Linked DNA regions of Arabidopsis thaliana. The protein of the gene in region 1 interacts with the protein of each later gene in a pairwise test. Each region holds a gene or a part of one and is shown in the gene's direction. Other genes may lie near its edges.

Region 1 (9,325 bases):
CTAAATTGGCAATTAAAGCTTGTTTTCTTGGTGATAACGTAACTTTATATCATAAGATTGAGTGGAGAAGTCATACTTCTTATTAGGCATTTTTAGTATTTTACTATCATTTATTGCTAGAATCAAAGTTTTTGAAAACCGGTATAAAATGTCAATTGTTTGGTTAAGCCTATTAAGCTGCAAGCCAAGTAAATTAAACGCGGTGCGACAAACGATATGATTCTCCGCAACTTCTTCATAGAACCCTTCGACCTTTCTCCTTTTTTTCTTGTCCACTACGTAAACCCAATGACACTTGTTTATACATATAAATATGTATATCTCACAATGTTATCTTACAAACACAAAACACACATTATCAAATTTTAAGAGAAGAAACAAAAGTCTTGAGATCAGCATTTTATTAATTCAAACAAATTACAAGGAGAATGAGAACCTTGGTGAAGAAGCTACTATGGTGCGGAGCGAAGAACATTTCATCTTCGAGAACATCGGCATTACCAGAAGAAGGAAGAGTTCGGGTTTACGTAGGTAAAGATAAAGAGAGTCAATGCAAGCTAGAAGTTGAAGCTAATTTGCTAAACCACCCAATGTTGGAAGATCTATTGAGGTTGTCTGAGGAAGAATTCGGACACTCGTACGAAGGAGCCTTGAGGATTGCTTGCGAGATTGATGTCTTCATCAAACTGGTTAATCTACACAAAACAACTAATCATCATAACAATTCCGTTTGCTTTCACAATAATTCCACAAAATTATTGTAGATTTTATTATTATCTCACTTATTTTTCATCATTCTTTAATTTAAAAAGGAAGAAAAAAATGGACGAAGTTCGTTTCCTTTACTTATTTATTTATTTACATAGTCGAATGCCAATGGACATTTGTATTCCGAATACAGTATTCGTAATGACTTTATCAAATCATATATCCATCGTTTTTTTTGACAAAGCTTATATTAATTTAAATGTGAAATTACATAGTCATGATGCAATAATATATCAATTTATAACCAAATCTGAAATTACAATATAACTTGAATCAAATTGAGAATGGGTGAATGGTTCTCGGCTGAATTGGAATCTCGTTTCACATGCTTGAACTTATAACAATGTAGTATTGTTGTTTAGTAGAGAATATCCTGGCAGATTTTGGTGATGCTTCTGTCTTTTCATTTTTCTTTAAAACGCTGTTTAGAACAAGTTAATCTCATTTAAGCTTGAAGAAAAGGCTGGACAAAGCACATAAAAAAATGTTTATGAAAATAACAAGTTAATTAATCTCCTTCAAAGATGAATATGCCCGGTTAATTAGTAATAATAAGTCTACCCCAAATTAGTGTGTTCAATTGTAAATCGAACTAAACCGGTTATGCTATCTTCTACATTCAAGGACTTCTTTGCTTTGTTGATATCACGAGTTGCTATCTTAAGCATGACAATCGGCTAGATGATCATTTCGATATCATGACTTACAATATATGCATATGTATCTAATATCTTACATATTAGGAATCAAATGGTTGATGTAAGCAGAAATACACCAGTATATATGTAAATCCAAACCAAACTATAACTAAGATCATTCGGTTCTATTTTTTTCTTTAACTATATCATAAAATTAAACACATGTTTGGCCTCGAACGACATTTGTTTTCTTCTTGAACAATGATGATGCTTGAAGGCTCTAGATGATGCTTGAAACGTTCATTAAAATTATTTCATGGTGATGATAATCGATTGGCAGTTTGTAGGGCACGGATTGAGAACGTGTCATAAACCTATTTCACATGTACATTTCAAAGTTTTGACTATCTTCTTAACATAAGGTATGCTTTATGAGTTTTGAGCCTTTGAGATATTATTAAAAACAAAGACTAAAGGCAAATTACTTTGTGAGTGTTAAAATGGAGTCGTTTTTAAGAAAATGAAGAAGAACAATGTATATTCATTAATAGCACTAATGATCAACCAAACATTTCCAAGGTTAAATAAAAGTTTGCGTGGATCAAGACATCATGTTCACATTTTGGTCAATTAATAAACCTGGCATATAACACTAAGTGGTTCAAAGCTGGAAAATGGTACAAGATCATATACAATTATTTTTTGTTTAAACTCTCAAAAGCCATTATGTTGAGGTTTGTTGAGTCTAGTTAAATCTGTCAAACCCTTAAGAGTTATCAAGTGTCTCGAGTCATTCTAATTCATGTTGGAACTTGTTTTAACAAAGAGGCTCCAACAACTTTTAGCTGGGTGGTTTTTTGGTGAGAAGTTCGTCGTCGTATTCGAGCGGCTAAAATGATTATTCTTAAATAATTATTGATTAAATGTATAAATATAGATGGCTTCAATATTTGTTTATAACAGAAGACCTAATGCTAATAGAAGATTCAGATGCCACACTTGTAACATGAATGCTAAGAACGTCCATCACCATGTATGTCTGCGTACCAAAACGATGTCTATTCTCTTTCAAATATTGAAAACATTCAAATTGGAATGATTTTTCATCTCTATTATATTTAGGTTTTCCAAATACATATCTCACGTTGACCTGCCTTCTTTAACTTCTTTAACAGCATCTAAATCAAACATATCATATGAAACTTAGCAGGTTACAATCTAAAAATAATAATAAGAGACAAATAATTAATCAAAAGATTACATGCCCAAGTTCTTACTTCCTCTTTCTAAAACACAAGGCCTCTTAGAGTACTCACAACAAAAGTCGAAGATAATGTTTTCTTATGTTCACCAAAAAACTTACAAAACTAACTCTCGAGAAAATCTAAATTTTCTTTTGAAGTGTGGTTTATATATGTATATATATTTTTATATTTTTTTGGAAAAGATTAATAATATTTAATCAGTATAGAAGTTCTGCTTAGACTCATTAATATTTAATATGTTAACTCATTATAAGTTTACAACTCAACTCATTGAATTGATGAAACCATTTGATCTAATAACTCATTTGGTTGTAAGCTTCTATAGTTATTCTTATATAAGTCTGAAAAAATATTATAGTTGTATTTTTGGATATCTAAGGAATTAAGAAAATTGATAATGTCTCACCTCTACGATAATTCCTTTTCATCTTTCCGTTTTGTTTTTGTATTATCGATTTATGTTCTTTAATTATTATTATTTTAAAAAAACTTCTCCAGTCATCTTTTTATTTATCAGTTACATTATCGTAAATATTCATGCTTCTTACATGAAAAAACGAAATATTTTAATGTGATCTCCACTAGTTCATGAAGAAAATGCAAAGTTATGACTTACTTTTATGGATTGGCTGCTTAAACAAAAAGTTACCAACAGACTTTGACTTTGACTTTGCGTAATGCAAAAATAACGGCAGCATGAAAAGAGGTTCCCTTCGCCTCATAATCTGCCTAAGTTACTGGTCAACAAGCACTACTATATATTTGTGTCATTTTCTTTTATTTGTGTTGTTTTTTATATATAGTAAATTATAAACATATTAATTATTCCTACTTTCCTTAGAAATGATGCATGGTGAAAAATTTAAAAATATTCATATACAAAAAAGAGAGGGAAAATAATATTATCAGTTCGATAAATATGTATTGGTTTTTATGAAAATAATAGTTTTATTCAAAATATTAGCTAAAAAGTACTCTCACACAGTTGGTTTGTTTCATAGTTATAGAATTTATTATGTGACACAAAAAGTTCAAAGAATATTAAAAATATTTGGAAATTATGCAAATAAACAAATATTTGTAATTATATTATTTACATAACACAATCTTATGATATTTATTTTAGAATATGTTTACATTATTTTATCCATATATATGTGTCAAATACGATATCATTTTTGGACATTTACATTTGTTGTAAATTAAATTGTATAGAGTTAATAAAAAAAATCAACAGATAATTTTGATTAAGGTTTGTGAATAATTTAGTCAATTCAATGCAAAATTCAAGATTTATTTGTCTAATCCACTAATTGAGAGTTTCTTTAGTCATAAATAAATAAATTGAAAATCTTCAAATCACGAAATATTTTTTAAAGATTTAATTTACAGAAAATCTCAAATCTCATTACAAAAAATCGTTAAAATCAAAATTTGCAACAACTAAAAAAATTCGATTATCAATTTTGTCATAATACTCATCTACAACTTTTGTCACTACATAATCAATTATTTTCTTGTCCAAAAAAAAAACATAATCAATGATTTTCTTAATGTAATTGTAATGATGAATTTTGATGCGGGTAAAGTAAAAACTAAATCTACTTACACAACTTCCTTTTTAAAAGTATTTATTTCAGATTTGAGATTTGTCAGATATTTTTCTCAACGTGAAAGAGAGAAAAGAGAATCTCTCAGAAGGTGAGCCTCCAACAAAGCGTGAATCTCTCTTTCTCTCTCTATCTCTCTATCTCCGAGATCGCATCACCGGAAATCTCCTTCTACGGTGGTGGTGGTGACAGTTGACCAGAGATGGCGGCGGAGAATGAGAGAAAATCTCCTTCAGCAGTCTCCGATATGGGAGCTTGGGCAATGAATGTGATAAGCTCCGTTGGAATCATCATGGCGAATAAACAACTTATGTCCTCTTCTGGATTCGCATTTAGTTTCGGTTCGTCTTCTTCCTCCGATCTCTCACTCTTTTTAATCAATTTCGCTTTTGAGATCTGATGATTTTTCCGATCTCTGTTTTCTCAGCTACAACTCTCACCGGTTTCCACTTCGCTTTAACCGCATTGGTCGGTATGGTATCAAACGCTACCGGATTCTCTGCTTCGAAGCATGTACCTATGTGGGAGCTTATTTGGTTCTCCATTGTCGCTAATGTCTCTATTGCTGCTATGAACTTCAGTCTCATGCTCAATTCCGTTGGCTTCTACCAAGTAATTCATCTCGATCTCGATCTTGAGCATATAGAATCAAATTGCTTTGATTTGAGCATATATAGACTTTGATTTTGGTTTAGTGGATTCACATTTTTTTGTGTTGATTAGATCTCGAAGCTGAGCATGATTCCTGTGGTATGTGTAATGGAATGGATTCTACATAGCAAGAGATACTCAAGAGAAGTGAAAATATCTGTTGTGGTTGTTGTTGTTGGTGTTGGTATTTGTACTGTGACTGATGTTAAAGTTAATGCCAAAGGTTTTATCTGTGCTTGTGTTGCGATTTTCTCGTCATCCTTGCAGCAAATTGTAAGTCTTTTTGTTTGGTGATTTGGTTTTGAAGCTTGTGGAATTCAAATCTGATCAATTGGTGTTTTTTCCTTCTGTGTTGCTTAGTTAATAGGTTCTCTACAGAAGAAATATTCAATTGGGTCCTTTGAGTTGTTGAGTAAAACAGCGCCGATTCAAGCTTTTTCGCTTCTTGTTGTCGGTCCTTTAGTTGATTATCTTCTTAGTGGGAAGTTCATTATGAAGTATAATATGTCTTCCGGTTGCTTTGTAAGTATCTCTCTTCATGGCTCTGCTAGTATTGTTATGTTATCATTGGCTAATGTTCTACAATTTGCAGCTATTCATTCTTCTCTCATGTGGTCTAGCTGTGTTCTGCAACATAAGCCAGTACCTTTGCATCGGGCGGTTTTCAGCAGTATCGTTCCAAGTTATTGGTCACATGAAAACCGTCTGTATCCTCACGCTTGGATGGCTCCTATTTGATTCTGCAATGACTTTCAAAAACGTAGCGGGGATGATTGTTGCGATTGTTGGGATGGTAATCTATAGTTGGGCAATGGAATTGGAGAAACAGTCGATTATTGCAGCAAAGGCTTTAAACAGTGTGAAACATAGCTTAACAGAGGAAGAGTTTGAACTTTTGAAGGAAGGTGTAGAAACTACACAATCAAAAGATGTTGAACTTGGCCGCACAAAAGATTAGAGACAGATGGATAGAGAAAGAAACATAGTCTTCAGGTACAATTTGTTCTGTTATAATTTTTGTATGTTTTGTGTTATCTAAACCAAGAGATCGGATCCTCGGAGATTAGTGTCTAGGCTTCGATCTAAAGTTTCCTTGGTTATACAAATGTTTTGTGTTATTTATATCTTTTTACCCAATTCCATGGAAATAACTTCAATGACCACATGTTCTTGTTTTACGTAGCACTCAAAGAGTATATTCCTTTATTTATCTTATAGAATATGACATCAAATGTAGAGTATATTCCATTTGATAAAACATTCATATGGATAGTGAAAACAAGAATACTGGAGAAGACTTAAAAGAACTTCTGATAAAAACATTCATATGCTCCCAAGTAATGTGAAAATTGTAAATGAGAAGGGGAAAAATGTTATTTAATACCTGAACTTTCAAAAAGTGGCCAAATTAACCGTGAATTTTTGAAATGGCCGTTTTATACCTCAACAAAAAGTTGACTTCTAATTTAACCTATAAGTTATCGTTGACCCGGCCAAATCGACTCACCATTAACACTTCTTAACAGCTCTCCTAACAGCGTAACTAACAACTGTTTTTGTCCTTAAACCAACAATAACGGCTGTTAGGCCATGTTTTGTAACGGCTGTTAGGAGCGCTGTTAAGGAGTGTTAACGGTGAGTCTATTTGGCCGGGTCAACGACAAATTATAGGTTAAATTAGAAGTCAACGATAAATTATAGGTTAAATTAGAAGTCAACTTTTTGTTGAGGTATAAAACGACCATTTCAAGAGTTCACGGTTAATTTGGCCATTTTTTGAAAGTTCAGGTATTAAATAACATTTTTCCCAAATGAGAAGTGATACTCACAGGCCAAATAGCTAGAATGTAATAAATGTTATGAAGAAAACTTCAGTCATGGTTGTGATTTGAATAAAACAAAAATGTACTGCAATATTATGAAGAAAACTTGCAAGGGAAGCATCAGTAAATTAACCATCATCAAAAAGACCCAATGCATTGAATTTGCTAGCACTTGTTCCAGGTGAGCACCGAGCTTCACTTGATGATCATCTCTAGGTGGGTTAAAGCTTCTGTTCTGATGGGCTTATTGATGTTGCATCATATTCATATGTTTTCTTCATATGTTCTACAAAGGCGTAAACATTAAGATCCTCTACATGGTCTACAAAGGCGTGAACACTACAACAGCTTTGGTATTCTCCAAAACCTTGGATTTCAACACTTAGGAGAGTGTTCCTTTCGAGATTAAAGTAGAAGACATAAAACGGCTTACATACCTTTTTCTTCGCCAAAACAATTTCACCTGTAGCAGTTATCCCAACAATAAAAAGATCGTAGTAAACCTTAACGACTCTATCCTCATCCCTCAAAGTGTACACAGATGTTGTCCATTCCTGTTTCTCCACATCCTCTAGAACCCACATACATAACTTAAGGGGAAATCCACCGCCATGAGCATACTTCAAATTAACCACACCTAATTTACCTTTATAGTATATCAATTTAGTAGATCGTTCAGAAAAACAGTCTTGGTTTAGATTTAGACATTTGAATTTCTCGGACCTGACATCAAAGCAAACTATATACCCCAAGAAATCATCAATGTTATAAGCTATGTAATACAAAGCCCCATTGATGCATATCCATTCATGCGAAACAATATGGATCAAGGGGCATTGTTGGATCTTCCTCCATCTCACTTTTCTAGTTCCCAATGTCAAAATATGAATGTCCTTTGTTTCATTATTGTTTATCTTATTCATGAGCAATACCTTGAATTGCTTGCCAACCGGATCAAACAAAAAAAAGCTTCTCGTCTCTCCATACGTCAACAACAATTTAGGTAACATCGCATAATGTCCCGTGCTAGGGTTACATATGACATCTGCCTTTGTGATCCACATAGCAGAGAAATATACCAAACCAGAAGTATAGTTACAAATGTTTAGGTTTTGAGAGAACTTCGTATGAAAATCCGCAGTTGCTACAAAAGATGACTTCCCATATGGATTCTGAGGCTGAGGCGACGAGAAAAACCTCCACTCACCGTGTTTTGAAAAGGCAAATAAGAGACGTGGACGAGCTGACGATATGGTCAAGAACAACTCGTTGAAATATGGACGGCAAAGCATGGAACCCCATAGCTTTGAGACGCAATGAAACCTAGTGATTGACTTTGCAGGCAATCTCGAGAGTATCTCAAGAATGAGATCGATAGGGATGGAATCTGAGTTTTCTTCTCCATTCATGATCGTATTTGTATTTTCTTATCTGATGAGAGATATGAACACAAAATCGGTGAGACTCTTAAATAATGTATCGTACGATAAAGTTTGACCTAATTAATCAATCTTATTCATGGTTTTCGCTAACCTAGGCCCAAGAAGCATCGTATGATTGTATGAGTATATATATGTTAATTGTAGTATCTTTCCTTATTTATCATTATTCATTTATATATTTTACCAAAAAAAATAAAATCATTTATATTTTTTTCCTGAAAACATTCATTTTATACTTTTCTGAAAACAAGTCTTGATAATTAATCTGAATTCTTCTTAAACAGTCTAATCAAGGTGTTTAATTTTATTTTTGGAGTCCAAATTAAATAAAATGCTTGCAGAAAGAAAGAAAGAAGCATCTCTTATCTCATAGCAGAGAACAATGGTTAAAGTATGATTGTATATTTGTATGGCACGATAAAATAAAGCTCACGAATCTCTCATGTTTAGAATAACTTCTTTTATTCACTTTACTGCAACAGTACGTGTGTGTGCTCCTTCATCTGTCATGGTAAACACTAAACAGTTCCAAATGCCTTTTTACCTTTTCTAAATCCTCAATTCTAATGATTTTAAATGAAACCTAAAATTGATAGAATCACTTCAAGTTTTGTTTTCTTTGCAATCATTCAAAAATCAATAGAATTTTAAAGATTGACAGAAGATCCTAAAAGTTAATTATCTCAGCCGATGTTTAGCACATAGACGTAAAGTCAAAAAACAAAACACTCTAGTTCCTAATACATAAATCTCTAAAACTAAAACGTAAATAAGCAGAACATAGAAACTTATTTTGTAACTTCTTTTGGTCCGAATATTTTACCCAATTATTACAATATGTAACGAACTTCACTTGTGTGATAAAAAAGACTAATTACATTTACCTATTGGATTAATATGACTACATAAATCGACATAACTCCTCCAATAACTCCACCACTTGAACCATAGTAGGCCTTTCTCTAGTCGACTCTTTAATACAAAGACAAGCAATCCTAAAATACTCTTCCACTCCCTTCTCACTACCACAAACACCTCCAAAATCCAACATTTCATAACACCGATTTTGCTCCACCATGATCACAGCCCATTGAGCCAACCCAACTTCCTTCTCATCCACAACAACCG
Region 2 (6,703 bases), on another chromosome or scaffold:
GGAATACAGCTCTTGGTGCATCATCTCCAGCAAATCCAGCCTAAGGAATTGGAAACACATATGAATGAACCAGACAAAACAGCATTGTATCCAAAAATAATAAAAGAAAAAGTTATCAGATTTATATCCACAAAGGTCATGTAAAGATGTACCTTAACCATTCCGGTTCCATTGTCACAGACGAGAGGCTGAATGTCTTCACCATCTGCCATTTTCTATATCCTGTCAAAATTGATATAAAAAATATTAGCATAATTGAACCCTTTATTTTGCAAGAAACAGAGGAATCTTAAGATCTACCAAAGAGAATTAAATTGAAAAAGCTTCATAAACGCATACTAATGAAGAATCAATGACGATGGAACGTTATGGAAATGTGATTACCTTAGAAGTTAGAGAGGGGATCTCTGAGGAAACGAGGAGGGTGGTGGTGTGGTACGGGTGTGTAGTTTTTGAGAGAGAAACGGAGCGAATGAAGAAGAGAATGTGAGCCGGAGAATTGAAGTTTAAAAAAGGAAGGAATAGGCCCGTAATAAATATTGATGGAGAAGATCTCAGCCGTTGATTTCTGAATATCACTTTGAACGAAGGAGGACCCCACGACCAGTCACGTTGTTGGTGGAAACAGCTGTCTTATTTAGCTTTCTAAAGAGAGTAACTGACATTTAATTATTTATTTATTACTAATTAAATCATTTCGAAAATTTGGTAACGTAACTGTAAATCTTCTCTCTCTCTTTTACTCTGTAAAGTAATTTAATGGGCTGGATAAAGTTCCTTAATGGGGACATCTACCTATAACAACCATATTTAATGGGCTGTATAATGTTTGTTGCATTTCATATATACATACACACTAACCAACCCTTTTTAACAATTGTTTTTTTCTTGTGCGGTCAATGCTTCTTGACTCTTTTGTATTCTATGGGCTTCTAAAATTATATATGGGCTTAGAACAGTGGCCCATTGACTTTACTGTATAAGCAGAGTTTCTTTGTACGACTGACTGTTGATTTTAGTATTTGCCGAAGTTGGAACTTTAAGATCAAAGAAGAAAATGGAGAGATCCATTTCCTTTAATCCTCGAGGCGATAACGAGCTCCCTGATGATCGGAGCAGCGATGTCGGATATGCTGCTAATGATCGGAGGCTTGCTTATTCTCGCTCGTTTCAGCAATCTCACGGTCCACGAACGCCGGCGGTCACGGAAGCGGCTAAGCCTTTTCTCGATAGGACGGTCTCGAGCATCGATATGCCGCCGGATATTTACTCCGTTGATGGAAGTGATGTGTTTTTCGGGGAAGGGAAAGATGTAGACATGGCAAAAGTGTCTGTTTTGGAAATGGTTTGGGAGGTTTTTGGAGTAGTGACAAGTGGAAATCGGCAGATGAAGAGACTGTTTCTGCTAATTGCGCTTAATGTGTTGTATTCTACAACAGAGCTCTCTATTGGTATCTTCACTGGTCGTGTAGGTACGATTTGGTTTCAGTTCTCTTTTTGTTTTAGGATTGAATCTCTGAATTGTTGATATTCTTTCTTTGAATTGTTTTGTGGACTCTTACAGGTTTGGTCTCTGATGCATTCCATTTGACATTTGGTTGTGGTCTCTTGACATTTTCTTTATTTGCAATGGCAACTTCAAGGAAGAAGCCTGATCATGCTTACTCATACGGGTGAGTTACAAGTAATTTGATTGGCTCAGTTGGTTAATCCATTTTATGATCTATTTTTCTCCCGAGACTGTAATGTGATTATGCTCAAGTGGTTGTAATTTAGGCATCCTTGTCTTCTCTTTTTTTTGGGTTCCCAGGTACAAAAGACTTGAAGTTTTATCTGCTTTCACTAATGCTGTAAGTATGTTCTTAACGTGTTTTGGATGTCATTTCCAGCTTTAGTGTAGATGGCTTGACTCAGTGTTAAAACTCTTTCCTTTACTGTTGCTGATAGAATAGAGTATTTTACAGCTCGTTAAAAAGATTTGGACTTCCATACAATCTATCTTTTCGTTTTGCCTTTCATTGTCTCTGTAGTTTATCTTTTTGGTTAATACTTTGATTTGTTTAATATTTGACATATGTGTAGACAGCTGTTCCTTATGTTCATGTCATTCTCCTTAGCTGTGGAAGCTCTTCATGCATTTATACAAGATGAATCAGAGCATAAGTAAGTTGATATTTTCACAAATGACATGCCTAGGAGTTTCTATATATATCTCTAGCACTTACTAAGTTTACAGTACTTGTTCCCTCTTGTTCCTTTCAGTAGTGTGATTTACTGAGATTTCCTTTATGTAGGCATTATTTGATTGTATCAGCGGTAACAAATCTGCTGGTGAACCTACTAGGTGTTTGGTTTTTCCGGAATTATGCTCGTGTCAATATTGGTATGTTTTTCTCTGCATTTTAAGTTCTGTTTAGACTTGTATGAATTGATGCTCATACGCTGCTTTATATTTTGATATAGCCTTTGTTGGTGGCTTTGGTATTCATTTGTAGAAATTGGCCACCCTTGTCAGTTTTCGCTTTAAAGCCAAAGAAGTAAGGGTGTTTGGTTAAGATAGAATCAGTACGAAGATTAGTTGAAAGAGAGAGTCAGCATAATTGTAACTGATCTGTCAAACGACTATTCGTTGCTTCTTGAAATTATCTGTCCCTTCTTTACATATCTAAAAACCACATGTTATCTTGAATTTTTTTCTTATATTCATAATATGCAATATGCTGCAGCCTACAGAAAAGCAGAAGATATGAATTATCACTCCGTTTGCTTGCACGTCATATCAGATTCCATCCGCAGGTGTTAATCCTCTCTGCCTTTATAAATTTCAAGCAGAATCGGAGAAAGCTATATAGAAAAGAAAATGCTTCCTTTTGCATCAAACTTATATACAGTCAACATGAAGTTTTCTTTGCTGCTGTCTTTTCAGTGCAGGTTTGATACTGGCATCTTGGCTCCTCTCGCTCGGGTAATACTCGCTTTCTTTGAAGGAGCTAAATGAATAAAAGTGTCTTCTTGCTTGACTACATTTTCCTTTTGCTCCTTATGCCTTGGCTTTTTCAGGGTTGAAAATGCAGAGGTCCTATGTTTAGGATTGGTATCGGTCACAGTGTTTATGCTTGTTATGCCACTCTTCAAAGCCACTGGTGGTGTCTTGCTTCAGATGGCACCCCCAAACATTCCTTCTTCTGCTTTAAGCAAATGCTTGCGACAGGTTCGCTCATAAATCGTTCCTCGAATGTGTACATATTTCCCATTGTTGATCAAACCAGGCTTCTCTTCAGCTCTCTCTCTCTGTACAGATTACTTCTCGAGAAGATGTAACGGAGGTTTTACAGGCACGTTTCTGGGAGGTTGTGCCTGGTCACACTGTTGGCTCACTCAGACTCCAGGTACTCACTTTTCTCCTTTTTTTTATATCGGTTAAAACATGAGCTCACACTAGAAATGGAAATGACTGGGTTTGTTATTTTGTTTATCGGCGTTAGGTGAAGAGCGGAATAGATGAAAGACCATTACTGCAATATGTATATGATGTATACCATGATTTGGGTGTACAAGACTTGACCCTGCAAACTGATTACACCTAAGCTGCATCTGCCTCTTCTTTGTTTTTAAATGCTGATTTGAAGATTTTTGGATGTATACTAGAGATCATGGTTCTTTAGGAATATAAATATTGTGAATTTTCAAGTTGTGACTTTGTGATATTGTTTTGTTTGTTTTTCATTTATGTGAATTTTCAACCACACAAAGACCACAAACCTTTGTATCTTCAAGCTTGTGGATATTTTGGCTCATAATGATTGGCGAATTAAAACATATATCATTTGCTAAATGTGAAAGTAAACACACAAAAATTCAATATGAGCTGAGACAAGATTTTAGCATTCCTTCTCGTTTATTTATACGATAAAAAAGGAAGTGGGGGAATCGGAGATCACATCAAGCTATATCTTAAAAACCTAATATTCCGAGGAATGGGCCACTAAAAGCATCTTAGAAAGAAAATTCATCGATTACGAAATCATCTCCCGTCCATGTCTATATATTATTCTTTGCTTACTCCTATGCTTCATTGAACATAGCACATTTATTTTATTCCACTTGTGATCATCCATTATATAAACCATGATTGCAGTTTTTGGACTAAAAGCTAGAAAAAGTTGTATTCTTTATGGTGTAATGTCTTAAGAACATATTTTAATGAAGGCACTACTTGATTTCTCTTGGTTGTGGTCTGCTCTGTACCAACTCCAACGACAAAAACGTATAATATAGAATAATAAACAAGAAACAATTGTTCAAAAAGACACTTTTATTTGAAAATTATACGGTTTTAATGTTATTGTTTAATTGATTCAACTCAAGAGAGAGAGGACCAAAAGAATATGATCATGAATCATCAAACCATTAACTCTTAACCTTTCCCCTTAAAAAATTCCCAATTGATAAGAGAGAATCAAAAGCCAAAAGTAGAGTTAACCAATATTATATCTAGAAAAAGAAGATTGTAAGATAAAGCTGATGAAATTCACATTGCAAGAAGAGAATCTGCTTACAAAAGAAAGAAGGCAGTGTTAAGTCTCTGATTTCTTCTTGATAACATTACTACTATGTACAGATTCAGCAACACAGTTATTGGGGTCTTAAACCTTCTCACCTTACTAGCCTCGATTCCAATCATCGGAACCGCTTTATACAAGGCAAGAAGCAGCACGACATGTGAAAACTTCCTCCAGACGCCGCTACTTGTTATAGGATTCATCATACTCATAGTTTCCCTTGCGGGATTCATAGGAGCCTGCTTCAACGTGGCATGGGCTCTTTGGGTGTACTTAGTGGTCATGATCTTCCTCATCGCTACCCTAATGGGTCTAACGCTATTTGGTCTGGTGGTGACGAGCCAAGGAGGTGGAGTGGAAGTGCCAGGGAGGATTTATAAAGAGTATAGGCTTGGAGACTATCATCCATGGTTGAGAGAGAGAGTTAGGGATCCTGAGTATTGGAACTCCATTAGAAGCTGTATCTTGAGTTCCAAGACTTGTACTAAGATTGAGTCTTGGACTACACTTGATTATTTCCAAAGAGACATGACTTCTGTTCAGGTACAATCTACTTTATGACATGATTCATGCTTGCTTAACAAATTGCTATAGTAATCTAATATATATCTTATCATATGATAATTTAAGCCTTTGATTTTATTTGTTTCTTCGTTTCTAATCGCGTGTAAAGCAAGCATGTGACTAGAAATGAAAAAGGCAAACGAATTTTTTCTTTCCGTGTGTGTTTTGTTGAATCGTATTTGTATTCTTACTTGCAAACAAAATGATAGTGTGACCTTACCAGTTTTTTGCTGTAAACATATAGTTTTCTCTTTTTACTTAGTTTGTGTTTGGCGTTTGCATTTAGACAAAAATATAGTATTATTGGGGAAGAAAAGGCTTGTTAAGAGTTAAGACGTGACTAATAAAAGACAATGCAGTCGGGATGTTGTAAGCCACCGACGGCGTGTACGTACGAAGCTGGAGTAGTGGACGGAGGAGGAGATTGCTTCAGATGGAACAATGGAGTGGAGATGTTATGCTACGAGTGCGATGCTTGCAAGGCTGGTGTTCTCGAAGAGATCCGTCTCGACTGGAGAAAGTTATCGGTTGTCAACATTCTCGTCCTCGTCCTCCTCATCGCGGTCTACGCCGCTGGTTGCTGCGCCTTCCACAACACTCGCCACGCAGCTCATCCTTACCATCCATCTGATGATAACCGCATGACCAGAGTCCGTCCTCGTTGGGACTATTACTGGTAACCTTATCTCTCTCTCTCTCTCTCTCTATATATATATATATATATCACTTACCAAATGCATGATCGTAAAATGAAAGTTTTGTTTCAAAATTATACTTGATCCGAATTGAGATCTTGGATTTTTTTATTTTTTGACAAAAGCATGTTCTTATTACAGGTGGAGATGGTGGCACGAAAAGAAAGAGCAGCTTTACTAAAAGCCGCATCGTTTTTTTGTTCTTAATCATTTTCTTTTTAGCAAACTTAGATTAAGAAAACACAAAGATAGTTTAAAAATGTTGATGTAGTCCTGTTCCTATAAATCATCAAGAGATTAGTAAGATTTGCTACGAGTGCATGAGTATATGCATATATTTTTCGTCTCACTTGTGAAATATACTCTATGGAAGACTTATTAGAGTTTACTATTCCTGCAATTTCACTTCAAAGCTCAAAACGAAAAACAAACAGAGTAGGTTGCAATGGAGACTAGCTAGGATTGAATTGTATATATATATTGATAGTAATTATTTTTCAATACAACAAAATTACATCGTCGGTTATTATGTTCTTTTGGTTGCAAGATTTCTCTGACGTGTAAGGCCTGCCATTCTCATTGTTCCTCCACCTGCAGAATTTTCCAAAAGTTATACAGATACTGTCACTATTTTCAAAAAGAATTACAACTTCATGCAAAAAACTCGTACCTCCTCCATTTTTGTCAGATCTTTTACGGCTACGCCAAAGAAGCCGAATTGGAGTCCCAGCAAAGCCTGCATCAGTGCGTAGCTGTTTCTCCATATACCTTCTGTACGTATCCGAAAACAGCTTTGCGTCGTTTACAAAGAAAACAAACGTCGGTGGCCTTATTGCTGCCTGCATTATACAACCATTTTATATACAGACAAACAAACCCGAA

Evidence for each region. Proteins that work in one complex are often made in the same cells at the same time.
Region 2: the proteins of AT5G42420 (region 1) and TET6 interact in a protein complementation assay, tested with the Arabidopsis thaliana proteins (one large-scale study listed by BioGRID).

Annotation. Positions count from the first base shown.
Region 1 is NC_003076.8:16,964,336-16,973,660, forward strand, and holds AT5G42420 (Nucleotide-sugar transporter family protein), read left to right. Parts: upstream 1-4,319; 5' UTR 4,320-4,483; coding exon 4,484-4,622; intron 4,623-4,708; coding exon 4,709-4,893; intron 4,894-5,004; coding exon 5,005-5,205; intron 5,206-5,292; coding exon 5,293-5,454; intron 5,455-5,524; coding exon 5,525-5,890; 3' UTR 5,891-6,192; downstream 6,193-9,325. Other genes in the region: AT5G42410 (SAUR-like auxin-responsive protein family), read left to right, coding at 429-764; AT5G42430 (F-box and associated interaction domains-containing protein), read right to left, coding at 6,977-8,164; AT5G42440 (Protein kinase superfamily protein), read right to left, coding at 9,099-9,325. UniProt on the Arabidopsis thaliana protein: Nucleotide-sugar transporter that transports UDP-rhamnose or UDP-galactose and UMP in a strict counter-exchange mode.
Region 2 is NC_003074.8:3,851,625-3,858,327, reverse strand, and holds TET6 (tetraspanin6), read left to right. Parts: upstream 1-4,461; 5' UTR 4,462-4,613; coding exon 4,614-5,105; intron 5,106-5,485; coding exon 5,486-5,802; intron 5,803-5,962; coding exon 5,963-6,002; 3' UTR 6,003-6,203; downstream 6,204-6,703. Other genes in the region: ACT11 (actin-11), read right to left, coding at 1-40, 153-212; AT3G12100 (Cation efflux family protein), read left to right, coding at 1,058-1,472, 1,565-1,673, 1,811-1,850, 2,087-2,163, 2,295-2,383, 2,727-2,796, 2,927-2,965, 3,061-3,211 and 2 more; emb2738 (GTP-binding family protein), read right to left, coding at 6,348-6,412, 6,492-6,660. UniProt on the Arabidopsis thaliana protein: May be involved in the regulation of cell differentiation.